Arabidopsis thaliana: one gene and its partner. The protein of the gene in region 2 interacts with the protein of the main gene of each other region in a pairwise test. Each region holds a gene or a part of one and is shown on either strand. Other genes may lie near its edges. The genes, in order: AT1G20540 and DCAF1.

Region 1 (14,584 bases), on a different chromosome or scaffold from region 2:
CTCAAGCTCCTCAACAGTGATCTCTGCAGCCTCCAACCTTGTACTTGCGCTCCGCATCGCTACTTCGTCCCACGCATCATCAAAGCAGCAAAACTGCATCGTAAAGATAGAAGAAAATGACCCTATGCTCGGTTTTCTCTCGAGCCAAGGAACACATACGAGTGAGAACAGAGACTCAACCATAGTCACAACGGCTCTTCTCACTTCTTTCAAAACCTCAGCAACAAACAGAAGGTTCTGCTCTATGCTCTGCATCTCCATCATCCCTCTCCCTCCTCCTTCAATACTCTTTAGACTATTTAAACACTTGAGCGTTTCCTTCTTGAGCTTGTTCCTATACCGATTATACGCTGCAACCTTTTCACTAAGGTTTGATCCATTACAGCGCAGAGTCAGTTGAAGATCTTGCAGGCCATGTCTCACGAGTGCCATGACATCTTTCGACACATTACAGACATCTAACATTATTAGTGAAGCTTCAGAGACTTGCTCGATCCAGTTCTCTTTCCCTTGTTGGCACAGAGACTCTCTTGCTTCTGGACAGTGATCGAGAAGATAGTTTGCGCAGTCTTGTAGTTCTCTCAAACCTTCCAAGTCCAGTAGCGCCATTCGGTTGAAACCTCAAAAGGGTATTGCTTGATGAGAACTTGATGAGAGATTTGTGATTAGGGTTTAGTGAAATCTTAGGGTTACGTCCATAAATAGGGATTGTTTGAATTGGAGTTGAAGATGGATCTGAGAAGAATGAGGAAAGTACGAAGAAGGAACCCTGAGGTTAGTTTTTTCCTTTTCTTTGCGAGGTGTTTTTTTTTTGTACATAAGTGAAGACATTAGTGTTGGAGACAGGTCATTTAGTTTTCAAATTCAAACTAGTTGAAGTTAGTGGTATTTAGGAACCTTCCGTTTATGTAAGTGGCACTAGATTAGGCTACATTATGGATTTGCTTCGATATTATTGTCTACATAACAAAACAAAATACAATTTTAATTTAAATTATAATCGGATACCTTTATCAGAAACCATGCATGAACCAAGCCAGCCAGTGTTTGTAATTATCTGAATAAAACGGAAGAATTATTTATTTATATCTGAAATGTTCCAGAATTTTGTTTTTGTATTGTTGGTTTAATAGTTTGTCGAATTCATCACCTTTTAAACACTAAACACAGAGTCATGTTCATGATTGGAATGTACTATCTTATTATTAAAGATCACTAACGGCGTATACATATAGATTATAGATATATGTCGAATGTACATAATCAAAATTTTCAATTTAGCAAAATTCAAAACTCTTCCAAGGACACATAGAATAAATGATAGATAGCAGAACTGATGAGAACTAAAACAAAGCCGTACATTACGTGCACATCAAGTCAAGTTCCTCATAAGTCTGCTTTGAGTTTGTAGCTAATTTCTCCATCGATTTGAATATCTGTTCCATGTTAGACTTCAGATTTAAACTCCCCATTAATGCAACAGATGGTACTGTCTTCATCTTCCTCTGCATCTTCTGCTCTTCCTTCTCTAACATCATAAGCTTCCTTTCTATATCCTTTACGCTGCCATTAACATTCCTCTGCTCTTCCAATTCCATCCTCTGTTTCTCCACCTGATGGTTTACGTGCATCAAAATCGTGTAAACCGCTTCTGTAAACTCCTTCTCTCCGTGTGATATCTCAAGGTTTTGTGACCAAGTGTTAATAGCACCAAACAATGGTGGCTCTTCTGAGAGATCTGGTGTTGGTTCTTGAGGTTCCTGTTTTAAACATCGCATTAGCCAATTGTTCAAGGCTTTAACATACTGAGCCTGAGCATCTATCCAGTTCGACATGCTTAGACTCCAGTTCCTCAACTCCAGTTTCAATTCCATAGCAAGCTCAAGCTGAGATAAGTCTAGATTCTCCTTTATTGTCATCTTATCAAGCTTCTTAGCCTCTGCAATTACTTTAGATTGTCTACTGTGACATTCTAGCATAGAGTTCCACATCTCAGACAACCTAAATATTGAGACACAACAAGCTGAGTTAACTCATGAGATTTCTCAAACAAAATTCTTATGGTAATGTCCGTAGTACCTGTGGATCAACTCTTTCATTTGGAACCAGAGCTCTTCATCGCGTAACTTGTTTATCGTCAGACAAATGTTGTTTATCTTATGGATAGAAACTCTCATTCTTGTAGACAAACACTGAATCGAAGAACGAATAGCTTCGATTTTGCTTAGATCTGCACTTTTTGCTTCCAATCTCCTCAATAGTTTGTAGTTCTTCATGTGAGATGTTCGGAGTTTCTCCTCAGCCTGTAAATAACAAATCAAAAGTCTTAAGGAACATAAAACACTTAGATAATTTTGCTTCAATCCATTCAGAGCATTTTGATTATACCTTTACTTCTTGGTACAGTTTCTTCTCCCACATGAAAAGTTTCTTCAGAGTAGATGAAAGATTATTGAAATTAGATTCTTCCACTGGTTTGGGATCAAATGGAGTCATCACCTTCTTCGTGTAGAGAATGTTTGAAGAAGGAAGAAGAATTCGAACATTACATTGATAAACAGAGCTTTTCTGGTAGTATCTGAATCTGGAAGTGTCAAACATCTTCGAAACATCATTCCCTGATTCTGAAGCTTTCTTGAACATTTCCTGCAATTGCTTTGTTACTTCAGATAAATCTGATGAAACTTTTTGATCCTTTGATTCTTTAGGAGCACGCTTCCTATTTTTCTCTGAGATTCTCAGAGTTTTTTTCTCTTCTTCTACTTTAATCTTCTCATCGTTTTGGCTCACAGTAATCTTCTTCTTCTTCAACTTATCTTCTTCATGAGAAGGAGTGGTCTCTCTATCCTTCAAATCATTGACATCCGTAGTGTACGGAAGCTCATAGCTCTCGAAGAAATTGATAAAATCCCAAGCGTAATTACTCGGAGCCGGCGGTGGAGGAGGCGGCGTTATGGTGCCGGATTCGTATCTCCGGGAGTAGAACGAGTCATGATTAAGATTTAGAGATTCAGGTTTTGAACCGCTTAAGAGATCGCAATTCGTACCTTCACCTTCCTCACAATCCGAATCGAACTTGGGAGGCAAATCGGAATCAGAACTGGTAACCGAGTGAGCCGAGGAACAGGATTCCGGAGAATACGTCTCCGGTGATTCGTCAGCTTCGGATTCAACATCCGGCGGAGACTCGACGGCATGTTGGAAGAATCTATGGAGAGCTGGACCGACGGTGTTCAGAGAAAGGAGATAAGCTGAGTGAGCGTCGGCTAAGGCGTAGCTTCGCCGGAGCGTATCTTCGAGTGAGCTGCAGCGGTCACGGCATAGAGATACGGCCGGTAAACCGTCGAGCTTGGAGGGGGAGCAACCCATAACGGTCGTTGGAGAGTTAGTGTTTTTTCAAAAGCTTGGATTTGTTGTCATATAAAAGTGATTACGTGATTAAGGTTAAGGTATCATTAAAAACTTAAAAATGATCACTTAATTTCACATTTTACCAAATTTAAAACAGTAAAAGCGCAATTACATTTCAAAAGGAAAAATTCATAGAGTACTGACAACTTCCACATATGAATAAATGATTATGATTCGAATAAGAGAGCCGTTTCTTTTTTTTTTTTAGGAAGGGACATGCAACCAAACTTCAATTTGGAAACTAGCTAGTAATCATAGTACTATAAACGTTGCAATTATCTATTTTTTTCTATTCACGATTAACATTGCATTTTTTTTTTTTTTGAAACGTTTGCATTGATTTATCGTCGTTAGAAATCATAAAAATGAAGTTTGCAAGGAACCATGCAATTATTCTACTCTGTGAATCATTGAAGCATAGAAAGTGGAAAAAGACGTGGTGTTAAAAAGTTAAAGCTAAAAAGTGAAAAGTTAAAATAAAAAAGGTTTGAGATTCAAAGTAACGTAAAGTGTTAAAAACAAATTTATAACGAAATCATGCTCTAAAAGTACATGCACATGTTGTAGGTACCAAACTCATATTTTAATCCCCTTTTTTCAGAACTCAAAACTCACGATTAGCTTCAAACACAAGTAAAATGAAGTTTTGTCAATAACTCGAGATATAAATCCATACATTACCACACTGATCATATCTCATATCTTCCTACTTCTCACTATGTTATAGAATGAATATGTTGTTTTCTCTTTAATTTGTACTATTCTAGCAAATAATATCCAGAGATAGAAAACATATTAGTTTTATAGTTTACTCCCATGCCTATATATTATACCAACAAAGCCATCTCCACCCATACAGAAAATATCAGTTTCTACTTTCAACATTATATTGCAATTTTAATGAAGATATACACAAAATATAATTTTTAATCAGTAGTATGTTCTAGTTGTAGCAAGTTACTGATCACCATGAATACATTTTCCACAAAACCCTACTAAAAACATGATTTTGTTTCATATAACTACCATGAAATTCTTGTCTACAATTACCATGATAATTATCAATATAAATACATTTTCAGATAGAGATGTGCATGAACGAGCGTCTTCACACGTCTTAACTTAAAAATCCTCAACTTTAAGAGTGAGAGTTGGAACTTTTTGGGTTTGCGGCTTTTGAGAAGATAAGACGAAAAAAGCGAAAACTTCCATATATAAAGAATACACGAGGATCTTTAATTAGTTCCTAATAGAAGAAAAATTTATCAATGTTTTTGGGTGAAACAAAAAAGAAAGGAATGTTTCTTTTTTGGGGATGGTGGAGATCCACCTTCTCATATTTTGTCTTCTTATCACTACTTTTGTAACCTTTCTTATCATAGGATATTCCCACGCGTATTAAAATCAGTTCAACTAAACATTATTTCCTTCAAGAATATACCCATATTAACAAAACCACGATAAGTTTAGAGTCTTACATGAACGCGAACAGACACATTGAAGTTTCGACAAAATCAATAGAAAAAGTCACTTATCGTTCAACCTTTCTAAGAGAAATGGTTAATAATCTCGTAGTTAGGAGTTTTCTTATATTTATACTCTGTTTTACATTACATTGTTAACCAACTTATTGTAGATTATATAAGAGTTTAACTAATAGTCGTTGTTTTCTGGCTGTGCGCGGTTGTGGAGATTTTTAATATGCTATTGTCAGTTTTTTTCATATTTCTTTACGTTGGTTGACAAACATTTCCTAGTCGTCAATTCTAATGTTACTTGCATTGCATGGCTTCGCAAAAATACTCAAAAAACACATCATTGTTAAGTAACGGTCATAAAATCATGAAAGCATCACGTACTATCTGTGGCTTTACTAAGACGTCGTTAACAAACGTAATGATAACATTCTTTTTTCTGGTGATTGATTCATGATTTTATGCCTTTTTTTTGGGTGATCAAACAACGTTGTAACTATGACCGGGCCTAATAGACATCTATGGGACTCTAATTCCATTGACCCGTTTTGTAACATATATACTAGAGTGAGTAGTGATAATTTATAGAAATTTGATATGTATATGTCTCTGAGTAGTTAGTGAAATTGTAACATAAGAGATTGGGCCTGACTTTATTAAGTTAGGCCCATTAATGTCTATCACTAACACGAAAACCAGCATCTGCTTCAGCTCGTCGTCTTCTCTACCTGAATCAGTGCGTCTGGCTCAGGTGACAATGCAAGGAGGATCATCGGGTATTGGATACGGTTTGAAGTATCAGGTGATTCATCATCTTCATATTTTCCTTAATTTTCCTTAGGAAGATTCTTTAAAGACGGAATTCATTTTGTTTCAGTCTAGATGTATATCGGATGTGAAAGCCGATACGGATTACACAAGCTTTCTCACTGGAACTCTTAGTTTAAAAGAAGAAAATGAGGTGAACCCATGTCTTGATTTTGATTTCGTCTTCTATTTTAGTCGGGAAGATACTGAAAGTTTTCGTTTTTTGTTCTCCACCATTTGAGATGCTTTTAAGGTTCATCTTCTTCGTTTGTCATCTGGTGGATCTGAGCTTATATGTGAGGGTTTGTTCTCTCATCCTAATGAGATTTGGGACCTTGCTTCTTGCCCTTTTGATCAACGCATTTTCTCCACCGTCTTCTCCACTGGTAAATTCGCTTGTCTTGAGTTGATTAGCAAGAATTTGGAGCTCTGGTCTTTGTATTGATTTATAGCGTGAGTGTGTCAAAAACTGATAATGGTTTTATCCGTTAAGGTGAATCGTTTGGAGCAGCGATATGGCAAATTCCTGAGTTATATGGTCAACTGAATTCTCCACAATTGGAGCGTGTTGCTTCTCTTGATGCTCATGTTGGTAAGATTAATTGGTGAGTTTATGATCAAACGTTTTCAGCGTTCTATTGCTAACAGTTATGTAAAAGTGTTTAAGAGCTTATTTTTTTCTTATCCTCAATCATCTTATGAAGCTGACTCTCAATTTTTCTCTCTGGTGGAAACAGTGTTCTTTGGTGGCCTTCTGGAAGATGTGACAAGTTAATCAGCATTGATGAACAAAATATTTTCTTGTGGAGCTTAGACTGTTCGAAAAAGTCTGCTGAGGTGATTTAGCTACTAGAATATAGTGACAACCTCATTTTTTTTTTATCTCTCAAGTATTTAGATCTTTTGTAGGGTATTTCGGTTAAACAGGTTTGGATTTATATAGGTTCTATCTAAGGATTCAGCTGGGATGTTGCATTCTTTATCTGGTGGAGCATGGGATCCACATGATGTAAATGCTGTTGCAGCAACGGGTGAATCATCTGTTCAGTTCTGGGACTTGCGTACTATGAAGTATGGTATCACTGTTGCTATCCTCTGTTGCTGCATGCAGTTAGGAGGTTTTACGCATTGATTTTATTCACACACGTTATAACATGCTCTGATGGGGGTTTTCAATTTTCAAATTAGTGTTAGTTGCTTGTGGTTTTACCTCGTCACATGACTTTCTCCATGTTTTTTCCCCAACAAAGGAAGGTTAACTCAATTGAACATGCTCATGTACGCGGTGTTGATTACAATCCCAAGAGAGAACATATACTTGTAAGACTCCTCTCTTGTAACTCCAAAGCACTGCGCAGTACCCTATTGAATAGAATGGTGTGCAGATAAATATGCTGTGCATATCCGTTCAGGTCGTTTTCTACATCAGCATTGAGCTGAACTGAATTGTTATGGAGCTCAACCTTTGATTTAAAAATATTATCATAACTTTGCTGTGATGGATCAAACATTCGATTATGTAGGTAACTGCAGAGGATGAATCTGGCATACATGTCTGGGATCTCCGGAAGGCCAAGGTTCCTGTCCAAGAGCTTCCTGGTCATACACATTGGTATGTTTGCTTCTGTTTCCCTTTGTAAACCTTTTTTTAAAGGAACCAAGAACTTGATCCTTGAATTTGTGCCTTTGTATGTTTTTTTGTCAAATTTTACAGGACTTGGGCTGTCAGGTGTAACCCTGAGTATGATGGACTGATTCTGGTACTCTACTCTCTTTCTCCTTTGTTCTTCTGAACACAATCAAAACGTTCCACTTGGTAGCTATGTATGTCAGTCGCAGTTGTTTTAGCTGAAATGTGCAGTTTTATTTTCGGTACATCCTATGGTTTAGCTTAGAAAAACTAAAGCCTCTGCTTTTAATTTGCACGCTTATAATTTGTGTCAATTCTGAATCATTCAAGTAAAATACAGAGCGCTGGAACAGATTCGGTTGTCAACCTGTGGTATGCTTCAGCAACATCCAGTGATGACAAAACCTCAGAAAGGTTATTTCAAATCTCCTAAACATCCTTGCACCGATGATTTTCATTTTTTGCCAACACTGTTGTGATTTCATTGTTACCATCTTTTTCAGTCCTGTGGAATCCACACGACAGCGTGTGAACCCGTTGCTCAACTCATACACTGACTATGAAGACAGTGTCTATGGTAAAATCCCTTACACCTTATGATTACCATTCTATCTTGTGAACCGAACAAATACTTAATACTGTTTAATTAACAACACAGGCCTTGCTTGGAGTTCACGTGAGCCTTGGGTTTTTGCATCATTATCATATGACGGAAGAGTAAGTAAACTTTCTCTACCCCATATACTCAGCACAAGATCAACCTAAACTTCATTTAAAGAGCTTCGGGGTCATTAATCTTGCTTGTATATAAATGTTAGGTCATCATCGAATCCGTCAAGCCTTTCCTTCCAAGAATATAGTAAAAACCCAGCATCTCTTTTGCTCTGACCCAGACACGACCCATCTTTTGGTAAAGTTGGCACTATTGTATTTGAAACAATGTACTTTTGACACAATCTTTGTGGATCCTGATGTATCTATCTATCATTCACCAAGATTCTATCGGTATCAATATTCAGTTGCTTTGACCTAAACAGACTCAACGACTAAGTAAGAAAATAAACTGAAAATTCCTTCGGATTGGATTTCTATGTACAGATAACATTGATGAGGTATATGACCACAATAAAAAAAAAGCTGACTTTGAACTGAATCAATCTGATAGCATTTCTTCTAGCTCAGGCTCTTCTGAAACCGATAACGCATCATCATAATCTAACCTCGTACCATTATACAAGCCTCTGTCCTGTAAATCAGTTTGGTCTTCCTCATAATCTGTCTCTGACGACGACAACTCTGCATCTTCATCTTCTTTCTGCTCTTTCTTCCCGAATTTTCTCGAATCCATCTTTCCCGCTTTTACTTTAGCATCAGTATCTTCGCATATACAAGCCGCTGGATTCTCATGAAACTCACCTTTTCCGGCTCTTACCTCCTTTGGTTCTCCCATGAATCCTTTCTGAAATGTTCTCACTCTTGAAGCAAACTCCTCCCAAGTAGTATTCTCTTTGCTCATAAACAACTTGTATAGCTTTTTCGCATTCGGTCTAATTGTTGGTTTATGTCCAAAGTATCTCCTACATAAAACCAAGAAATCATTCAACACAAAGAGCTAACAACCTTAAAAACAGAAATGAAGCAGAAAGAAGAAAGATTAGCTATGGTTAATTTAACTACCTTCGACCTGCTAATATTCTCGCCATGTTTCCGTTATTGTTGGTAACGAAAACATCGCTTTCGTCACACACAAGGAAATCGAGTGCAGCCATTCGTGAAGAATAAGAAGAAAATGGTTTTAACTCCATTTTTGTAGCTATGGTGTCTTTTGAATAGAAATGTGGAAAAAGTGCTTTCAAAGGAGCCAATGATTTTTCTCCTCCATAAACTTCACCTGATGCAACATATATATGAACATCACTTCCATATCCCAAAGCTCTAAGCATTAATCCAACTTCTTCTGGTGTAAGTGGACATCTTCCTTGTCTCCTTTGCTTTTCAGGGTTATTTACCTGCAATGCAAAATTCGTTAAATCCAACAAGAAAATAAGAAGAACTTTGCACAAGTAAGATTTGTATACATACATGCAAAGTTTTCCATCTCCTTCTGATTGTTCCTAACTCTTTCTTCTCCTTCTCACCACCACCATAGTAACATCCAGAGAAGGCGAGCATATCAGGTTCAAACCTAAGATGTAAAGCAATGAAGTGTTTGCTCCTTTTCCGCATTCTTCTGACCAATTCGTTACCCATTTCAAGAATTGGATCAGTAAACTTAAGCGCATGATAGTTTACTCTACACCTCAGCTTCTGCAAATCATCTCTCAACTTGTTTGAGAGTCTGTAATCAAATTTATTCAATTGAACTGCCTGAAACAAAGAGTTACAAGACCAAATCATATATAAGCATCATAGAGAAAGAGGAAATAATGAAACCTTTAGATGCTAAGAAGCGTAAAGATTGAGAGACAAAAACAGGAAAACTTACATGCCTTTTCTGAAGAACAGGTAACACCCGATTGATATAGCATTTCTCATTGCATTTTCTCGGTACACGCATTCTGCGAGGGCTCCATGTTTGCCCTCCTTTCTGTGGAAGTTTCTCAATGATTTTGACATCTTTTGAGAGAAATGACATAAACCAATCAACATCGAAAATGTTCGAGAAGTCACTGGCATATATAAAAAGCACAAAAGTATGTTAATACTAAATAAGATGCATAATGTTTTGATTTTTACGAGAGCTAGTACGAACCTGGCATCTTTCCAGTAGGATTTCTGGTCCAACTTCGGAATAACAAGCGTAGCGTTTAGAATCCTTGCAGCAACAACAGCATCTACAATCTGAAAGAAGTAATTGCGTTGTGAAACTCAGACCAAGATCTAAGTAACAACAAAAAGATCACCATAAAACCAGAGAAACCTAAAGGAACTTACACCAGTCCGTTGTTGGTTTAAACCGCCACTAGTGGCAATCGCCAAGTATCGATCATTTCTAGTAATTGCTTTAGCATCTGCAGTAAGAAAAATCAAAATGTTGTAGTGTGACTAATAAACCTCAATGACAGAAACATTCAAGCATTCTAAACTAAAACACTCTAAACACCAAAAGAACTTTATAAAGTTACACACTTGGGAACTTGCTGCTTGCATTACAACAACCATAAAAGAATTCAGCATTCCATGAACGCCAGATATCACGATCCGATCTTCCTCCACCTCTCTGCTTCGGTTTAAAACATACACAAACCCAAATTAGCAAACAAATACAGACTTTGCAACAAAAATATCAAATATAAGAACCCTAACCGGAACTGTGAAAACCACTGGTGTGTTCTTCTTCTCATCATTGGCTCCATAGTTAATATGCTTCTGCAATCAAACAAAAACAATGGCGTTAAGAGACAGAGATCAGAATCTCATCAACAAGGCTATTGAGAGAGAGAAAGAGAGTGTACGGAGATGCGGCGATCGGAATCATCAGGAGGAGGGGAAAGAATGGAGAGAAGAGCGAAGAGGATGAGAAGAGCTCCAGAGACAGCGCAAATGAAAGGAAGAAGACGACGGAGACGGTTGTAGTAATTGTTGCGCCGCCGTTGAAAAGCCATTGAAGGCTATACACGCGGCGCTTTTACCTTCGTCTCTACGCCAGACAGAGAGAGAGAGATTCGTGTTCCAATGGAGACAAAACCAAAAGTCTTTCTCTTTAAGAGTACACACTGGTTTCAAGAGATTCAAAATGAAAGTATTGTCTGTTCTGTTTTTTATTTGTGATTCTTCTCTGGTTTTCACGACATTTCCATCACCACAATAATCATTGTTGATTCTCTATCTTTTGCTTCAATCAAAGATTGAATTTTTATATACTTGAGATACAGAAACAGAGAAAGATTGAATTTTTTAATATTGTAAAAGGAAAGTGAATATTGTTTTTTGGTTTTGAGACAGTTCTTATAGATTTCTGGGCTCTGAAAGAAATGAGGCACCGCCTCCAGCACTTCGTTGTTCTAACAGCTTTATTTTATTTTTAATTATTACTCCTTAATTAATCAAATTAATTGTTTTTACTTTGGTGATAAACTATGAGCTGGATTTTAAGAGTTTTGCAAGATGAAAGTTATTCTATTTCTTGCTCTATTTCGTTTTAATTGTTAAATTTCCTGTTTTTTTTGCTTAATTTTATTCTTATCTAGACATTATTAAGAGATAAGTTTAGCATTTTGTGAACACTAACTAAATTTTGACAGTAGAGCAAGTTGCAAGCTATGTGTTTATTCTGAAATGAAATCACTTTAGAACCATTACTGTCTAAATTTCCATAATGGTGTAAATATTACTCTTTGGCTTTACATTTGTATCATCCCTATTTTTTTCATCTTTATATTAGTAAAAAGAAGAATATTTTCAAATTACTTTTTGTCTACTTCAGTGTTTAACTTTTTGCTAAAGAGTGTAAGTGAACAATAGCGTGAACTGAGAAAGAAAGTATAACTCTTTTGTCTGTCTTTTATACAAGTTTCTGTTTGCTTGGTGTTGTCACAATCGATGAACATAAATGTTGTGAGCCGGTTTGAGGAATTTTGGATTCGTATTCCTCCTAACCAAAATCAGAAAATAATCAACGGTTTGAGGTCATCTACCTATAGTTTAAACGAGTCATGGTCCGGTTTAGTCATTAAGCACTCGTATTGATTGAGAAAAAAAGATAATTCACACGCAAATTTGATTAGTAGATTTTTAAGTTTATCTTTACGCTTTCACGGAACTATTACAAATGATTATCTCTTGTTACTTACAAGTTTCACCATGTGAACCTTAGTTGTTTCAAGTGTCATTCATCAACCATATACTGTAGATTGAAGGCTTATTATAGTAAGTGCACTCATTTCGTTGCAATGTTAACATCTACTTTTCTTAAATACTATACAACGTAATTTGTTAGACTGTTAGGTACAACAAATTTATTTAGTGATTATTTATAAGTTCTGTAATTACAAATTTATAAATATGAAATACTTTTCGATTCATTATAAACATCAATTAATGTTGCATTCAAAATTGAAAATATCAATTAACCATTGATAATGATCATGTAGAAAAATCAAACTAAAGAGCAAATTAAATTATGATTATGAAGGGTTATAAAAAACATACAGATTGAAATTTAACCAACCTTTAACCGACCCCTAATGAATCGTTTTATATGTTGTACCATGTCATGTCATGTATGTGTTGAACAATACACGACTTTCTAACAACAATAGTAATACTTATTTAGTTTTCTTAAAATAATCGAAATCTAATAAACAAATTGCAGTAAATAACAGCAAAAATATAGATAATTAAGAGACACAATCCAAAGATTGATTCCCTTAAGATAATAATATATCCACTTGCCATCAGATTCAACTCTAATCAGAATGCTATAGATCTAATCTTCCGGAATTACAATTTCATCCCGGTTTTATTTATTTCAGAAACATACAAATTGGTTTTAGTATCTCATTCTGGTTTAGCTTAGACACAAACATGATCTTATAGACAGTAATTTATAAGACATCTTGTAGAGATTGGAAGTAACAAAGAAAGCTTACCAATTCATAACTTGCTTCTGCCTTTCTTTGATAAGCTTACCAAAGCCTTAGCCTTGGTCCTCAGAACAAACTTCTGGACTTTTCCAGTCGATGTTTTAGGAAGATCCTCAAACACAATACTCCTCGGAGCCATATAATGTGGAAGCCGGTCCCTGCAATAGCTAATAAGCTCCTCCGCACTGGCCTTAGACCCGTCTTTAAGTTTCACAAATGCACAAGCAGTCTCACCCCAATACTCATCAGGCCTCGCAACTACAGCTGCTTCAAGAACACAAGGGTGAGTGAACAGAGTAGACTCGACTTCAATCGAGCTAATGTTTTCTCCTCCAGAGATTATAATGTCTTTCGATCTGTCTTTCAGCTCTATGTATCCGTCAGGGTGTTTAACACCTAAGTCGCCACTCCAAAACCAACCTCCTTTAAAAGCTTCCTTGGTTGCTTCAGGGTTCTTTAAGTAACCATTCATCACCGTGTTTCCTCTGAAGACAACTTCACCCATAGTCACACCATCAGCTGGCAAAGTTCTCATGGTTACAGGGTCTTTAACTTGTATTTCCTCGAGCCCTAAATGATTCACGCCTTGTCGAGCTTTCATTTTCGCCTGTTCTTCTCTAGGCAAAGAGTCCCACTCAGGCTTCCATGTACAGATTGTGCCTGGTCCATAAGTTTCAGTTAACCCATAGGAATGAAACATAGAAAACCCCAACTCTTCCATCTTGAAAATCACATGAGCTGGTGGCGGTGCAGCACCGGTTATAAAAGACACCTTCCCGGGAAGCGGTTTCTGCTCAGATTCAGGCGCATTGATGATCATATTCAATATCGTCGGCGCACCTCCCATATGAGTCACCTTATGCTGGGAAATATTATCAAATATAGCCTTGGCCGTAACATTCCTCAAACATATATTAGTCCCACCAATAGCAGTAACACCCCACAATAAGCACCAGCCATTGCAGTGAAACATGGGATTAGTCCATAGATAAGTAGGCGAGGAGTGCATTTCGTTGAGTAAAACCGCAGCCAGAGAATTCAAATAAGCACCTCTGTGACTATAAACAACACCTTTGGGGCTTGAAGTGGTACCTGATGTGTAATTAACAGATATAGCATCACACTCATCTGTTGGTCGTATAACCTCGAAGTCCGATTTCCCCATCGCTACAACATCTTCGTATTCCATCATTTCCTCAGATCTCTTCTTCCTTGAAACAGATTGAGTAAGAGGCTCTGGGATCAAGACCAAAATCGGGACCTTGTCACCTTTATTTGAGAGGATTTCACAAGCTCCTTCAGCTATTTGGAGAAACTGATGATCTGCAAAAATCACTTTTGTCCCTGAATGTCTAAGCAAGACAGCAACAAGTGATGAATCATGACGAATGTTGAGTGTACAGAGCAAAGCTCCAGCCATAGGAACACCAAAATGCAATTCAACCATAGCTGGAACGTTTGGAGCCAACACTGAAACCTTGAGAATCAGAAAACGCAACAAACTAAGTTTCGATCTATGAACAGAAAAGATCTCCAAATAGCATGGAATCAACTAATTAAACTAGCTAAGAAGGGAAAAAGGGAGAAATCGATGAACGAGAAGTTCTGACCACATCTCCGGTAGAGATTCCGAGCTGGGAGAGAGCGGAGGCGATTCTGACGCAGCGGTCACGAGT
Region 2 (17,014 bases):
TTATTTAGAGAAACGAAAAGAAAAATAGAAAGCGTGAACCAGAAGCTACAACGCGCCGCCTCATACAATCAGGAACATAAACAAAGTCACAAACAGTTTATGTTAGCAAAAGAATCATAACACTAAGACACAACAAAAGAGATACTTAAACAAATTACAAAACCAAAATAAATAATCGATTATTTAAAGTTTATAAGTAAACCCTAACTCTATAATGCTCAAAATAGATACACAGACATAACACAAGAACAGTAAACAAAGTACAAAACCAAGATAAACAATCGATATTCTCTAATTTTAAAGTTTAGATTAAACCATAATCCTATAATGCTCAAAATCAATACACATACACAACAGAGTAACCGTAAGCAAAGCACAAAATCATAGATAAAACAACAGAGGTAGATCTTAGCGAGCAAACAACAAAACAAACTATTAAACAAAAAAAACGATTAAGAAAGGAGAAAGAAGAAGACCTTACCCCTATGAGAAGGAGCAACAGATGATGACTCGGATCCCGATGATGATGATGAGACGGAAGATGAAGATGAAGATGAAGATGATGAAGACGAAGATGACCTGGATCGAATTCTGGGACTAGCTGGAGACAATAGCGATAGTGGGGATGATGACCTTAGCAGCGACGGCCATGAAAGTATTGCTCTGAAGCTGTCCCAATTAATAAAAAAATTAGGGTTAAAATGTGTATTGCTCGGAATGGTAGAGCGCGTGTGAGACACTTTCTATCGGAGAGAGTATTGCTCGGAAGCTGTCCCAATTAATAAAAAAACGAATTTGCCAGCAAAGGACGGACCAAAATTAAATAAAAATCCCAAAAAAAACAAATTAATAATAAAAAAAAAAAAGAGAGAAAATCGGAGTCTGGAAAAAAAGAGTAAATGGGAAGCGACGACTGACTCTTCTTCCTCCTCCTCCTCCACCTCTTGTTTAGGTTCTTAGCACTGAAATTTGATCAGAAGTAAGCTTGTGGGTTATGATCTTATTACTTTGTGGGTATTGATTTTGTCGATCGGATTCAGAGTTTTTCTCTTTTCGATCGTTTTACTTATCCAGTACACCAAGGCAAGGTTTGCGTGTTTCTTTTCATGTCATATCAAGTGTTTTTGTGTTTTGTGAAGCTCTAGGTAATCTATGAGTTCTTGCTTTAGCTTATCTCATTATGGAATTATCGGATCTGTGTCTACTTTTTTGGGTTTTGTGGGAAATGATGATTTTATTTTTTTCATCCACGAGTTTTCTCATATGACCTCTCATTTTTCTTTGTTTTCTTTGAAATAAAATTATGGAATTCAATGATGAAGTTACTATTTTTACCTAGTTGAAGCTGAGCTGAGTTATTAAAGCATCTGATTTCAGCTTAATTCACGAAAATTTTCATTCTTATACTAACATGTATATATATGTTTCTATTTTAGGGTGTTGACGGTGTAGAGCTTCACGAAACATAAACTTTCATTTCTTCTAGCTTCTTGATTTGCTCTTAAAGGTAAGTTCTTTGTATTTGCAGTTACTTCAATGAAAGAAAATACCATTTTGATAATAGTGATTTCTCATATCCTTTCTTTTGTTTCCTTTACTATGGTCTATATTTGCTTTAGGTGCATGTTGAAGTGATTGAAAGCGATTTACATGTGACTTGCAGCTCGGTCAGACATTATACATTACACTCAACACGAGATTGGAAAGGATGCTTGAGAATCCAAAGTTCGATTTGCACGCTGTTGGCAATCACAACAACGACAACAATTACTATGCCTTCACCCAAGACTTTTATCAAAAGCTCGGGGAAGAAGGTACAAACATGTCTGTTGACAGTATGCAGACAAGTAATGCTGGAGGGTCTGTGTCAATGTCTGTCGATAACAGTAGCGTTGGTTCGAGTGATGCTCTTATTGGCCATCCTGGTTTGAAGCCTATGCGCCATCCCTACTCTCTCTCGGATGGCCAAAGCGTATTTCGGCCAGGAAAAGTTACTCATGCACTTAACGATGATGCCTTAGCACAAGCGTTGATGGATAGTAAGTATCCAACCGAGGGACTGGTGAACTATGAAGAGTGGACAATAGATCTGAGGAAACTACATATGGGTCCTGCTTTTGCTCAAGGGGCTTTTGGAAAGTTATACAGAGGGACTTACAACGGAGAAGATGTAGCCATTAAGCTACTCGAGAGGTCAGATAGCAACCCTGAAAAGGCACAAGCCCTCGAACAGCAGTTTCAGCAGGAAGTTTCTATGCTTGCATTTTTGAAGCATCCTAACATCGTTAGGTTTATTGGTGCGTGCATTAAACCGATGGTGTGGTGCATCGTGACTGAATATGCAAAAGGAGGGTCTGTCAGACAGTTTCTGACTAAGAGACAAAACCGAGCTGTGCCTTTGAAGTTAGCTGTTATGCAGGCGTTGGATGTTGCCAGGGGTATGGCTTACGTCCATGAGCGCAACTTTATACACCGGGATCTAAAGTCAGATAACCTCCTCATATCAGCTGATCGGTCCATCAAGATTGCTGATTTTGGTGTTGCAAGAATTGAAGTTCAAACCGAAGGGATGACACCAGAGACTGGAACTTACAGATGGATGGCACCGTAAGTTGAATAAATATCTCGTTTTCCATCCTTGTCTTGTCCTTAATAACCTTATATATCTCTGCAAGTCATATTTAGACACTATATTCCCTTATTTTGATCGATGCAGAGAGATGATCCAGCACAGACCCTACACTCAAAAAGTGGACGTGTATAGTTTTGGAATCGTGCTGTGGGAGTTGATTACAGGTCTGTTACCGTTCCAGAACATGACGGCGGTTCAGGCTGCATTTGCAGTGGTGAACAGAGGAGTCCGTCCAACAGTCCCAGCAGATTGTCTTCCTGTGCTTGGAGAGATCATGACACGTTGCTGGGATGCGGACCCTGAAGTCCGTCCTTGTTTTGCAGAGATTGTCAATCTTCTGGAGGCGGCGGAAACTGAGATAATGACGAATGTGAGAAAAGCCCGTTTCAGATGTTGCATGACGCAACCAATGACAGTCGACTAATCTGTTGTGAAGAAAGAGAGAGGAGAAGAAGAGGAATGAACAAAGAAGAGAACATAAAAGAAAAAAACAGAGAGAGAGAGAGAGAAAGCAAGAAGGGCTTTAGATATATGTAAGTTTGTGTGTGTATCTATCTATCTATATATATATATCCGATTGTATCTCTTTTCTCAAGATAGGAGAAGTAACCCAACCATTTTAGACTACTGATTTTCTAGATTTTTGTATTAAGAAAGAACAACGAAAAAATTAGATGTACGGTGATTGTCTCAAGTGTTTGGTTTAGTTTTCCTTGAATTTGATGATGCATACTTTTCTCCTTTCAGAACTCTACGTTCATTATCTTCATCACCATGGTCTCTTCTAAATTCTGTGCATCAATGGATTCTCTTATGATGTGGGACAAGAGAAATCATGATTACTGATAATCAAAGAGACATGGAACTTGAACAAAGAAAAAATAATACAAGAACTTATCATCAAAATTTTGGATAGTAAAAATCCATCTTAGTGATCTGTAGAGAGCCCAGAAGTAAATAAAATTTATAAAACAAAAAAAAACTTAGGAAGAACGAATGTTGTCTCTATAATCATCCTCTTCCCCACTGCTCATGAAATCCTGCATCTCACCGTCGTCATCATCATCCTCATCCTCACCATTACCATCGTCTTCATTTTCACCTTCTATAAGCTCCTCCATAAAGTCACCGTCAATGAGAATATCTGCTTCTTCATCAAAATCGCTCACACTATCTTCATTGTCCTCGCTGCTAAGGTCATCATCCCCACTATCGCTATTGTCTCCAGCTAGTCCCAGAATTCGGTCCAGGTCATCTTCTTCTTCATCATCTTCATCTTCATCTTCCGTCTCATCATCATCATCGGGATCCGAGTCATCATCTGTTGGTCTCCTTCTACCAATCTCATACATCCTGGCCGAGGAAAACATATCTTCTTGGTCTTCCATTGTGATCAGCCCAAGGAACGAATCTGTTGGTTCTGTGGCAAAGTCAAGAAGACACCGGTCTACAGGTATAGTGGCAATGTCTGAGTAGTTGATCGCATCAAGAGTGCGGAAAGCAGCAAACAAGGGATGTTTCACACGGCGTGTGTGAACCGCTGACATAACGTCCTCGATGTTTCTCCTCAGCATTGCGTATATAACATCTCCCCTAGAGTTGAACGTAATAGCTGTCTGGTCCAGTGATGGTACACTCCGAAGAAGTTTGAAAGTCCTCATGTCCCAGATCTCTGAGTTTATGATCACCTGTAATAAGTAACATGTTGAAAAGCCAAGAAACAGTGAGTAACTTTTTATCTATATTGTAGCCGAGGAGTTAATGTAGAATATCTGAAGTTGTTGTGAAATGGTTCTGGAGCAGTTAGTGAGGGACTTTTATAAAGCTGTCTTCGACTGTTTAAGGGAGTGGATTGTTCTAGGGTTTGGTCAACTAGAATAGGAATGACAATTTCATAGCTTTGGTATTATCACATAATTTAGATTAAAAAGTAATATGATTTATCCATTACCTCGTTCCTAGAAGGATGAAACCCACCTCCGCCATAATCAGTAAATTGATCAAACCGTCTGACCTTCTCGGGGATACGGCGGTCCCAGAGAACACCATTCCACAAAATCAGTGTATCGCAAGGGCTGAAGTGCACAAGAGAATAGGGATTACTTCGAGAGGATGTGACTGTGTCAGTGAGTTTTTGGCAAGGGCTGCAGGTCTGTACGTCATATAGAAGAACATCTTTTCTAGATGCTTCACAAGAAAGCGCTGCAAATTGTAGCCCAGAGTTGCTGAATTTTGCAGCCTTGCATCCATCAAAGGAGTGTCTAGGCCCACCAGTTATAGAAGACGCGTCCCACAACTGTACATCACTGGAGCTCGAAGAAAGTAACAACTGAGTATCACGAGAGACATACGGCTGAACAAGTGTAACCGGAGCCTGGTGACCTGAGACACTCTCAAGCATGCTACCGCTGCTAGCTTCAAATATCTTGATTTCTCCAGCATGACTACCGACTGCTATATGATTAGTACCGCCAAGAAGTGCAATGCATGTAAAGAGAGCAGTCTCATCCCGGAAAGATCTCCAAGATTTGAATCTGCTGAAAACAAACTGACGATCCCTGCGATTCCCATGGACTCCACTGTAGAAACTTTGAAGCTCACGGGTCCCAAGACGGCCAGTCATGTTTAGTGGAGCTTCAAGTAACCGTTTAGGTTCAGGACAGACATGTGGATGTAGGAGAGACACAGGGGGAAGAGTTGTGATTGGAGCCAGACACTGCCTGTGTTGGTGCTTTAGATACTGAACCACAAGGGAGTCTAGTGATAACCGTTCTGGATTTGAAGGCTGGGGATCACTTGGAAGCCGTAGCTGAGAAGCAGGTGTCATTTGGCCCAGTCTGGAACTCCCAGATTGGTTGGCATCTAAAGCTGAAGCTGGTGTTTGCAAACCTGAGCCATCCGCAAAGGTTGAATTCCTTCGCTCACCCAAATCGATTCTTTTACCCGGAACTGACGAGTCTCTAAGCTCAGACAACTTCCGTTTTCTTGGAAAGGAAATCGGGGTCTTAAATTGAGCATCGGCATCAAGGTCGTTCTTCAAAACTAATTCTGCAGCAGTTTCTGATGTATCTGCCAAAGCAGGATCTGAATTCGAACAACAATTTATTCTCTGTGTAGACTGAGGTAGAGCGTCATGGGAGAAAGATTGTTTTCTTGACTGCGAACTAAAACTGGGTGAGAAAGTCAACTGTTTCTTCTTTGCAGATGGAGCTGCGTTACCTCTCGAACTAGGATCTTCATCACGTGCATTGATTTTGGGTATGCTGGGACAAAAACCACAGTTAGCACGGCCTGATGGCCATTGTTGCTGTGCTACTGGTGTGGGCATCTCCAGTGTCGAGGAAGCCAAATGCTTCTTCTTGGCAGATAGAGCTGCATTAGATCTAGAATTTGGATCTTCGTCATGTGCACAGACCTTGGGTTTGCTGGTGAAAAATCCACTGTTAGCACGGCCAGAGGGCCATTGTTCCTGAGCTAGCGGCGTAGACATCTCCTGTGTAGTGGAATATGCAATAGAAGAAGGGGAAGCCGATGAAGGTAGAGGAGTTAATTGAGCCTCTTTTAACAGTGCTGAAGCTGTATCACCAAGACCTGATGCCTGGAGATGCTCATGGATAAGCAGTAAAAGCTCCTTAGAATCATAAGTTATAGGCGTTGCTGCTGCAATGGCAGCTCTTTCAATGCGCCTCAGTGTTGGAGTAGCAGCATCACTGGCTGTTAGTGTAGTTGCATGCCCTGAATTTGTCACAATCTACAAACACATATAAAACACAATTAAAAATATCCGCAAAACTTCAACAGAAAAACAAAGAATGAAAAAAACACTTATCACTAATGAAGCATACAAAAAGAACCCCATATAAACACATTAAACAAGAAAATTAAATCAATTTCAGATGATTACCCCTATTAGCTCAAGCGCCACCTGAGCAAGTTCAGCCTGCCATCTCCCCTGATCTGTGCCACTTGACTGACCACCTGAATCCCGAATTAGTTCTGATAAACTCTTACCAACCTAGAATAATGCTTGGGAAGTCAATATATATCACCAACGATGCCTGCTCAACTTCACAATATATAAACGGGGAAAGAAAATTGCTATTCTACCTCAAGTTTAGTCAGTATTTGTGCAATTGTATCATCTCTAGCCAGACCAAGAAGTACCCTGCAAGCTAGCGCTCGTAGACAATCTGGGGTAGCAGGAGGATTTACATATATTCTGGGCTGAAGAAGTTTTAAAAGAATTTTTATACCATCATTCCCACGAACAGCTTCACGGGCTTGACGATAAACCTGCTCCAACTTAGCAGCAAGGCCAGCAGAACCAGTTCCTGCTCCTAAGAAAATTCTCCGATCCCCAACCAAACCTGAAGATGCTGGTGCAACAGGAGTTTGCGGAGCATTACCAGTGGACTGAGTACCTACAGCAACATCAGTAGAGGGACGGGTAGTGGCTTGGCCAGGAACAGGTTGATGATTTTGTGCAAGGGGCGGCTTATTGCTTAATGATGGTGGTGGGCACACCAGATTGATTAGGACATTTAGTGCAGGCTGGATGATCTTCAATAAAGAAAACATGAAGGAGGTAAGTATCAATGAGAAGCAGAAGAAGAAAGACAAAACCCATGTGAATAATGGATAGAAGCGGACTACTGACCTCAGGGTCTACTATGCTGTTGGAAATATTTGCTGCATCCAGAATGACAGCAATGCCAGCACGATTGTTGCTGAGTGTGGCATGTGCAATTGCTTTGCGGCCATCAGGTATTGATGTAACTATGTGAAGAACCCCAAAAGCATACTGAAGAAGATCATGCAGATAACGATCTACTGGTGGAGTCTGCGCATGTGAACATAATGTTAAAAGATGGTAGACAAAACAATGTACATGTGGAGTAAAATGCTACATTACCTGACAAAGTTCCAACATGGTAACATGTCCAGAGGAGGCCAAAAAATTATTGACAGCAGGCCACTGAGCTTTCACAAAGGTCGGACCCAACCTCCTATCCTTCTGTAACTGAAGGAAGATGGCATCAACAGCTTCATTGCTGATGTCAAGGGGCTTATAGGCTGCCCTTATATTAGGCTTCATTGAAGATGGCACACCACCCCGGCTAATTCTGCTAGGACGGATTGAATCAACAAGCAAAAGGAGATGAGCTCTAAAATACTGGCGTAAAGCAAAACAGGTGTGAAAAGCCATCTGCTTCTCTGAGGACGTCATGACTTCAGGAGCTGATCGGTCAGTATTAGCACCAGTTCTAACTGAGGCTGCATCTTTAAGAATTGCAAGGAGTTTCTGCAAACTATCCTGAGCATCAAATGCATCTAAAATGGCTCTGAAGACAAAAGCAGCAGCAAAGAATAAAGCTGAATTTTTTCTGGCTTGATCCTGGGAACAGTCGAGAAGTTCGATAGCTAATTTAACAACTTGATGTATGACAACCAATGGAAGTGCACAGACACGCTCCATTATACCCTGAGAAAAAAAAAATTGAAGGTAAGAAGAAGCAGGATTTGTACTAAGTCAACGATTGACGGTGAACCAAAATTGTGTTAAAGTCATGCAAATTTGCTGTATTATTACCTGAAGAGAGCCAATGGTGTATAAGCAAGATGAGAGACCATAAAAAGTCTCAGAGACCCTTGGAACAGCAAGTAATTTTAGTATGCCACGCCGTTCAACAAACATTGCTGCAAACTTCCGGTGCGCAGCCAAAGCGCAAATTAACTTCATGACATCAGGTAACAAAGGAGACACTGTCGAACGATCATCTAACTGGGATGTACGTTCCAGCAGCACAATGCATACATCAACACCTTTTTCATGGAGTACAGGCCCGAGAACCTCAACATATTCTCCCAGTATCTCAAGGCACTGGATGCAATATTTTTCTTGTAACTGAGCCAATGATTCGATATCTGGAAGGGAAACTTCACTAACATCCGTTGTCTGATCAGATGTGACACAAGTAGGATTTCTGCCACCAACCAAATAGCAGAGTTAAAGCCCTAAACAACTCAGAGATAAATAATTGATAAACAGCAACGATAATATCCACGACATCATAGCATGACCAACCTTGAAACCTCTGCGGCATCTATGACTGTAATAGCTGCTCGAGTAGCAGCAGACACAGCAGCTTCTTCACTGCCAGAAGACTTGAATTCCTGGATAATTTAAAAGAAAAGACAATCAATATAAATATCAGGTCACCCTAATCCACCGTTTCATTAGGGAAATGAAATCACTAACAGCTAAGCAAAAAAAGAAAAACATACCTCCAAAGCAGCAGTTTTAACAAGCTCTGCAGCAGCATCGCCAGCTGCTTTAGCTGCGTCATCAGGAGCATGGGCAGCTCTAGCTTCGGTTTCAGCAGCTCCAACGGCTCTCTTTACTAGATCAGTTATGTTTTTAGTTCCTATTATGCAACCTTGAAAGCACTCATCGTTATCCTCTCTTTCTATCTCCATAATACCAGACTTCATTTTCCCAAGACATACGGTCACGTCTTCTGCATTTCTGCCATCTGAAATTTTTGATAGATCCCTATCTCTGACAAGTAGACGACCTAATCTAGGAGATGCCAAGAGAACTTCTGTATCAGGTGCACCTTCGTGAACCCTTCCTCTCCCCCTTGATTTTGATCGGTTCAGTCTGTGTCTTGAAGGGTCATCTCTAACACTATTGTCATCTCCAGGTTTAATTTTACAATCAACAACACCTGAAACATTAAATACATCTCTGCCATCGATTTCGAATTCGCCATCAGGCTGTACATCAGTTTGTCCCATCTCTCTTCCGGAGTCCGTCTCAAGAACATGGTCACCTTCAACTGTATCCACAATCTTACGCACCCTACTTCGACCTTCTTCTTTGGTTTTTAAGGAGACGTGCTTAGTCTCAGTTGTGTGTATACGGCTTGTGCTTGGCTCTTTAAGAACTCGTACTCGAAGATAATGCATAAGCTTAGCAGATAGTCCTGATGTCAAAACGTCTTCAACTATTTGCCCACGACTTACATGAGTCACACAAAAAGAAAATGTTACAATTTCAGCTGTGGGCGTTGCAAAAATGGGAAGAAGAGACAACAAGTTGAGAATGTTTAATCAATACCTCGCCAGAGAGAGAGCAAGAAGTCCTGTAGAATAAGTTTTTAACATTTCAAAATCTGAGGCTTCCTTCTTGGCAGAGTCTTCACCAGGAAACTTGACTGCCTCTTCCATAACCCAATTTTTAAAGTTTTCCGTTACAGCATCGTCGAAAACATGAGGATACTGAAAAAAAAGAAAAATTGCGTCATGAGTCAACAAACAAGACATCCAATTAAGGGTAAAGAGAAAGAAAGTAGTAAAAAATTTACCATCCACGTAAGCGAACAGTTCATTAGCAACCTTGCAGAGGCTGCCTTTACTGCGGTTGAGTAAGAATTCTCAGATAGAAAAGTCGACGATATCAATTCAAAAAACTCATCGTTTTCCTGCCAAAAATCAAGTAACAAAATAAGAAGAAAGAACCCACACAAGAGAAAAAAGAACAATCTTTTTTTAAATAAACTTACTCGGATGAGAATACACAGCTTGCCACTGTTATGACTACCACGAGCATTGGAGAAATGCCCATTCTCCTCTAAGAACCTGCGAATACAAGTAAGCGTCAAAACTAAAGACAACTACAAAAGAAAATCAAGAAGAGAGACTGATTGTTGAGCTAGAAAGGAACATACAGAGACTCCTGAGATTCGAGAAGCTGACTAAGAGCGTGAAGGATATTAGGATTAGGGTTATTGGCAACGGAAGTAATATCTTCCATAAGCTTCTGCGCCTTCGCTATAAGCTCGTCTTCAACACTCTGTTCTTCTCCTTCTTCAGGATTAGGTTCGCCGGTTGAATTCGCCAACTCTGCAATCGCCTCCGCCGCAACAACTGATTGGTCATCCTCAACCATCGAATTAGGGACCTCGGCATGCTCTTGCCCGTCCATGATGAATACCTCTCTTTTAAAAGAAAAACCCAGAAACGGCGATCAATTCAAACGTTGGGATCACGGAAAAAGAAAAAGAAATTATTGAAAGGGAAAACGAAAAAAGAGCTTATAGTTGTAGAGTAAGAAACGCAGCAGAACAAGGAGGGTGGTAGATGGAGACGACAAAGCTGAACCGACTCATACTAAAATATGACCCGACCCGTTTCTTTCACTAAACAAACCCTAACCCATAGTTTTTTTTAATAATGGGCCTTTTAAAGGCCCATAGTTTTACTGTCAATAACTACGACGTCGTTTTCAATTGTTCCGATTAGGAACTTCCTCTCCGGCGACTGAACTTTTTCTGGAAATGGATAGTGAAGGAGCTTCAAGCGAGTCTTCTTCTTCTGGAGATCAGCTCGAGAAGTGGACAGAGTAGTTTCACATTTGATTTCAGTTTCATTCCGCACAATCAAATCGGTTGATGATTTGTTTGACTTCTTTCAGAGAGCAGGATGAGCTGAAGAAGAAACTGATCGCGTACGATGACTTCACATGGAAGTTATCTTCATCAACGGAACTGTCTCAGGGATCGGAGATACTTAAGTATGTTGGAGGTGTAGACATGAGCTTTTGCAAAGAAGATTCTTCCGTCGCATGCGCTTGTCTCGTCGTTCTTGAGCTTCCTTCTCTCCGTGTAGTCCACCATGACTTCTCTCTTCTCCGCCTCCATGTTCCTTATGTCCCTGGATTTCTTGCCTTTCGTGAGGTTTCCTTCTCCTACTACTTCGTGTCCCCGAGCAATGCTCTGCTAAATTCATTTGCTTCACTAAAGTATCTCAGATCCCAAAATTGGATTTTTCATGTTACAGGCTCCGGTTCTTTTGCAGATTCTGCAGAAGATGAGAGATGAGAAGCATCCATTCTATCCTCAGGTTTCAGTTTTATCTATAAGTTGCTTTAGTTTGCAATTGGCTACTCTTAAACCATTGCTTTTGCGTTGATTTTTTTTCTTCTAAAAGTCTCTTGCTTTGCTCTTGCAAAGGTACTGATGGTGGATGGAAATGGAATACTTCATCCACGAGGTATAAACACACAACTTTACCTTTGTTTTGTAGTTGCATTTCAAGCTCTGTAATTATGGTGTTAGATGTAATTGTCTTCTATAGGATTTGGCTTGGCGTGTCATTTAGGTGTTCTTGCTCACCTACCAACCATTGGGGTCGGAAAGAATGTACGGTCTTCAGAATCTCAAGCTCTGAAATTTGTGATGTTATTTTTGTTTTGCCTTGCATTTTCCATCTGATCGTTAATGTGGAATTTATGATGTTGTAACATTTTCAGCTGCATCATGTGGATGGTCTGAATCAATCTGAGGTTAAACAGTCGCTTCAGCTCCAAATAAACGAGCATGAGCAAACTATCACTTTGGTAGGAAACTCTGGAATTACATGGGGAGTAGTAAGTGACTTTGACTGAACATCTACTGTAGTTGTTGTGTCTCTTTGGTAATACCGCGTTATATTAGTAGTGACTTATCAGTTTTAGCAACGAAACTTCTCCATAGTTGTGGTTTTGATAATCTTGTGTAAGATAGTGAATTTAATGATCAAGTTTTACATATTACGTTCAACAGGGATTTAGGCCAACTCTGAGTTCTCTAAAGCCCATATATGTATCGGTTGGCCATCGCATATCACTGGACTCTGCCGTTGAAGTTGTCAAGATAACCTGCAAGTACCGTGTTCCAGAACCTATTAGACAGGTAAGTGATGCATTTACCAACAAACAGAAAGTTATCCTGTAGATATGTGAAAAGTGAAAAGTAAGAGTCGTTAAGTATACAGTTTACTATATGCAGGCAGATATTAGATCAAGAGCATATCTCCAGAAGCATCAAACTGAGTCTTTTAAAGAACTGGCAGTGCGACCACCGGATCAGGTAACTTCTGATGTTTTCTCCGCCATTTCTAACCATTGTCATATTTTTTCGTACTGGCTCACATGTCTCTTTGCTTCCTTTTTTGTCTACCAGACTGAACCTTAATCCCTCAAGCAACCAAGAACACTATTCCACATTACATAGAAACTCTCCAAAGTCTTTACCAAAGATTGTTAAATGGACAGATTCAGGCACTGAAGATCCGCCCCAATTATCTCCTTCATTTATCTCACTGACTTGAAGATTGCAAGCTAACCAAGGTAATCATGTTATATCCGATACATTGGAATTTCCTTTCCATACATACCTTAAACAAGTGTAAATAGAAAGGCTAGGCAACTGGTAATTTGGTTGTTTGGGCACTGTATATTGGGAGATTTTGGGGTTCTCGACAAACAATTCTATAGCTTTGGGTTTGGTATTTCTTTTGGTTCAGCTGTAACTCGTTTCTCATGCTCTAAGACAGCACAATCGTTTCTCAATCTTAAGAGACTGTTAATGGTGGACAGATTCACAGCAGTGAAGCCTCATGGATTCCTCTTTTGCAGCAAACCTGCTTAACTAATATAAGGTGTAATGTTTGAAACTTCGGGTTGGGCTTTAACAGCTAAAGTGAAAGATGAGATTTTTATCATTTTCTGATTACTAACAAGAGAGGTATAAGAGAGACAGTGAACACCAAACTGCTCTCGAGAAATAAGAGATCAAACCAAGTAATACATAAATCTCACTGTAGTTTCTGTTTCTCCATAAACACCAAAAGTTTTGCAAAAGAAAAAAGGAAAAAAAGAAATAATCAAACCCATCAAATTTTCTTCAGTATTCACAGAACAATATACAGACAGATGGAGAGAAGTAGCAGCACTGCCGTTGATCGTGTTATAGGCATCATGGCACTTGCTTCACTAGCATCTTCTGACTTGATCATTATCTTGAATTTGCAACTCCCAACAGAAGGATCCCTAGTACTGACTATAGAGAGACCCGGGAACTTACACGCACTGTCGAGCTGATTACTTACCTGGTAATAGCTATTGAACGCATACGAAACATTCTGTGCTAGATTCAGGTTACCACAAGAGGAGCCATAACCAAGACTGGTGCAATCAGCATGATCACAAGCGTAGCTCACGCTTGGTCCCAACTGAGGATCCTGAAGATTAGCATTTGGCGCAAGAATACACCATTTCTTAGCCAAATAATGAACATCCTTTGCAGGGATCAGCCCGTTACCACTGCCAAGACTGAGCTGATACTTAGGCTGTCCATCAATATAAAATATCCCCCAGTGTCTTTCAAAGTTTCCAGGCTGAATGCTTTTGGCATCTTCATCGATAAGACCAAACAAGTAAGCATCCATTGCCCCAGGTCTCATAGGTGTTCCTTTATTAGCCTTTTGACGGTTCATAAAACCTTGATTATACCGCCTGGCATACATCAAGTTTGCGTTCTTATCTCCATCTGTTGGCCACCCAACTTCCCCAACAATAATAGTCAAATTCCCAAACCCATTCTTCTGCAACGACCACACAAGTGTATCGTAGTTTGCATCAAGAACATTGTCGTAGATTCTTCCATTGTCGTTTATCGGAGTACCAGTTCCATCAAAGAAAGCAAACTCCACAGGGAAATTCGGGTCGTTGTAGAGACTGATGAAAGGGTAAATGTTGATAGTGAATGGTGCTCCGTTATCACTCAGAAACTTAACAATGTTCAACATGAGATCACGGATTTCAGGCCTGAAATCTCCATCCGAAGGGAGATTAGACGCACTTTGGTACACATCTGCGTTAAGAGGCACTGTGACTTTCACCTGAGTCGCTAAACCAGCTTTGATGATAGCTGATTGTATATTCTGAAGAGCAGGTAGAGTTATACCCTCAAATGTTCCATTGAATGCTTTTAGAAAAGGCTCATTCCCAACTGCCACATACCTAAATTCAAACACAAACCAACTAACTTCAATCTCTTTGCTTTAGATCAAAATCTAAAGACTGGAACTTTGGGTTCTAAAATCATTTCTTCCAAAGCTCTTGATCAAAACAAACAAAGAGAACATGTTGTTTCAATGAGATATAAGCACAAACCTGATATCGACGCCATTAGAGGAGACATGAGCAGATACATTCTGAGAGACCCATCTCTCAGCGGCTGCAACGCTACCGGCTAAAGGAGCAAGCAAGTCGTTAGGGATTCCGACCATAACTTGAATCCCTGTCCGACTTAAAGCTTTGAGAATCGCAGAGTCGGCCTCGAAAAGTTTCACCTTTTGGATACCGTTTTCTCGGAGAAGCCTCACCACCGTAGCCGGAGGTAGGGGATGCCTCGCCTGTGAGCCCCAGTTCACACCAATCCCTTCAACTTCAATTAACAAACTTGCGTACAACAAAGTGATTACGAAAAAGACAGCAAAAACACCTTTGAACAACATCGGAACCGAGAGATAAATCGTAAACACCCTATACCCAAAAAAGGCAAAAGCCAATAACGAAAAAGAAACACACCAAAAAAGAACTGAACTTTGTGGTTAAAACGAGCTAAGATGAAAGAATCAGTGAAGTGGGAAACTTGGGTTTGAAGAAGAATAAGAACAGAGCTGAGTTTTGGCTTAACTTCAATCAACAGATTATCGAAAAAATCAAAGTACGGTACTATATATTATTGCTTTTTGGGTGGAATAAGTTCTCTTCTCTCAGGTGGAATTTGGAGAAGAAGAGGGAGAGGTTACAAGAACTAAGATGGAGAATCTGAAATACACGAGACTTGAAAATGTTTTAATTTCAGACATGGAACATAAACGAAAAAGGTTTTTTTATTGTCTGTCCCAGTGACCTGAAAGGCGGTGTTTGCTTTTTGATTGGTACCCCCAATCGAAATTTAATTAGCAGAATATTATGAAAACGATTAACAAAAAAAAAGGGACTAAAAGAGAAACGTTAATGTTTTAATTTACTACGTTAGGTGTTGTCTACTTCCTTAGCTGTAGTAGCTCTTCACAATACCACTCAAATCTATTAATTATACGATACGGCAATCATGATAATTTATAAAGAAAAAATCATCAATATATACTTTAAAATAATTAATCAATCATAAATATAGATTTGGGTTTACCATCTTTGTTATAGTTTACAGTTATTATAATCAGCAAGTATGGTAGTAACATGAGAGAGTATTAATTTTGAATAGTACTTTCTAAAATTTGATAGATTTTGCCTGTCTAAGATTTAGCTATTACGAAATAAAGATGGTTTGATGTGAGGCAGGGGCATGTGGGTGAGGTCAAGCGGACGTGTAAGCCAAATAAAAAGAGAGAACAACAAAAAAAGGAGGAATCTTTGAAAGATTGTGGAGCAGTGTTACCTGATGCTCTCAGAATTAAAGTTGAATGAAAATGTAAAAAAACTTAAATGTTCCCTTTTTTGTGTGAAGGAATAGTGAGTCAAACAGAGAATGAAAGAGGTCGGCAGGTCCGGTTGGTGAAGTAACATTTATTCTCCTTCAAGCCTCTCTCGTTACTCTCCCTTACTGTGTGAGCCCATTCTCGGCCCATTTATATTTTTGAGAGTTGGATGATTGGCATTTTATTCACAGGTTAATATCTATAATATGATTATGTTTAAGACTTTCATATTGGAAGTGAGTTGAAACATCAAATAGTATAATTAAGAATAATGGTCAATCCCTTCTTAGAGACTCAAATAACTTTTCTTGGTCTATCTCTGAAATCTTTTTATGAGTTTTTTGGATATTGTGAAATATTGAAGCACTAAACACCAAATCTAAAAATGACTTGGACATGCACTCAATTTTAAAAGCTTGTTTTTGTTAAGATTTCCATCTCAAGAAGGTAATGCATACTTTTCCACGTTTTTGAATATAACTCTGTAATGTCTTTCTTTATACAAGATTGTCCACTGGTCACTGAGTCTGCATTAATGACTCTGATCTTCCTCAACAACATTATCAGTCACCACACATAAAATCTTTTATTTCTTTGATCAAGTAATGTTTTCAATTCTTACGTGTAATATAACAAAGCCATACTTATTAAAAATTCAACAATCGAATCTTATTCTTATATAATAAATTCAATATGCCAAAACGTGATCTAGAAGACGAGAAAACACAAAAACACAAGATAAGAAGTATCGGTTGGACAAGTGTCACAAGTCCACTTGTCGTACTCGATTAAACCTAATAAGTCAAACCAAAACCATTTTATCCACTCGTAGTCGTAGGTTTAAACTTATACTACAACAATCTAAGAAGAAAGTGGAAGAGGCGAATAGCTATCACCTTTTATGAGAGACAACAAAAGCCCATTTTAAAATCATGCTTGGAATGATTATGAGTGAAAAAGAGAAAGTGATCGGTTGGTTTGATTTGATTGATTTATTTGTGTTGGATCATTATACATAGAGAAGCATCAATGAGATGAAATTAATTCAGATGATAAAGGGAAGTGATA

Evidence for each region.
Region 1: the proteins of DCAF1 (region 2) and AT1G20540 interact in a two-hybrid assay, tested with the Arabidopsis thaliana proteins (one study listed by BioGRID).

Annotation. Positions count from the first base shown.
Region 1 is NC_003070.9:7,107,009-7,121,592, forward strand, and holds AT1G20540 (Transducin/WD40 repeat-like superfamily protein), read left to right. Parts: upstream 1-5,602; 5' UTR 5,603-5,643; coding exon 5,644-5,688; intron 5,689-5,763; coding exon 5,764-5,847; intron 5,848-5,946; coding exon 5,947-6,079; intron 6,080-6,186; coding exon 6,187-6,298; intron 6,299-6,430; coding exon 6,431-6,530; intron 6,531-6,636; coding exon 6,637-6,764; intron 6,765-6,943; coding exon 6,944-7,013; intron 7,014-7,216; coding exon 7,217-7,305; intron 7,306-7,407; coding exon 7,408-7,453; intron 7,454-7,663; coding exon 7,664-7,737; intron 7,738-7,826; coding exon 7,827-7,900; intron 7,901-7,981; coding exon 7,982-8,040; intron 8,041-8,141; coding exon 8,142-8,183; 3' UTR 8,184-8,354; downstream 8,355-14,584. Other genes in the region: AT1G20520 (DUF241 domain protein, putative (DUF241)), read right to left, coding at 1-609; AT1G20530 (girdin (DUF630 and DUF632)), read right to left, coding at 1,362-2,001, 2,080-2,303, 2,389-3,369; AT1G20550 (O-fucosyltransferase family protein), read right to left, coding at 8,477-8,900, 9,001-9,332, 9,406-9,690, 9,809-9,992, 10,076-10,164, 10,258-10,334, 10,453-10,543, 10,630-10,692 and 1 more; AAE1 (acyl activating enzyme 1), read right to left, coding at 12,919-14,385, 14,519-14,584.
Region 2 is NC_003075.7:15,139,541-15,156,554, reverse strand, and holds DCAF1 (DDB1-CUL4 associated factor 1), read right to left. Parts: upstream 10,928-17,014; 5' UTR 10,620-10,927; coding exon 10,363-10,619; intron 10,274-10,362; coding exon 10,198-10,273; intron 10,117-10,197; coding exon 10,000-10,116; intron 9,914-9,999; coding exon 9,753-9,913; intron 9,654-9,752; coding exon 8,918-9,653; intron 8,807-8,917; coding exon 8,718-8,806; intron 8,617-8,717; coding exon 8,223-8,616; intron 8,115-8,222; coding exon 7,545-8,114; intron 7,473-7,544; coding exon 7,290-7,472; intron 7,193-7,289; coding exon 6,740-7,192; intron 6,648-6,739; coding exon 6,537-6,647; intron 6,384-6,536; coding exon 4,584-6,383; intron 4,321-4,583; coding exon 3,616-4,320; 3' UTR 3,443-3,615; downstream 1-3,442. Other genes in the region: AT4G31170 (Protein kinase superfamily protein), read left to right, coding at 1,709-2,607, 2,717-3,056; AT4G31150 (endonuclease V family protein), read left to right, coding at 10,972-11,036, 11,109-11,370, 11,474-11,536, 11,647-11,686, 11,771-11,835, 11,946-12,062, 12,238-12,366, 12,463-12,543 and 1 more; AT4G31140 (O-Glycosyl hydrolases family 17 protein), read right to left, coding at 13,367-14,477, 14,631-14,974. UniProt on the Arabidopsis thaliana protein: Component of the CUL4-RBX1-DDB1-DCAF1 E3 ubiquitin-protein ligase complex, DCAF1 may function as the substrate recognition module within this complex.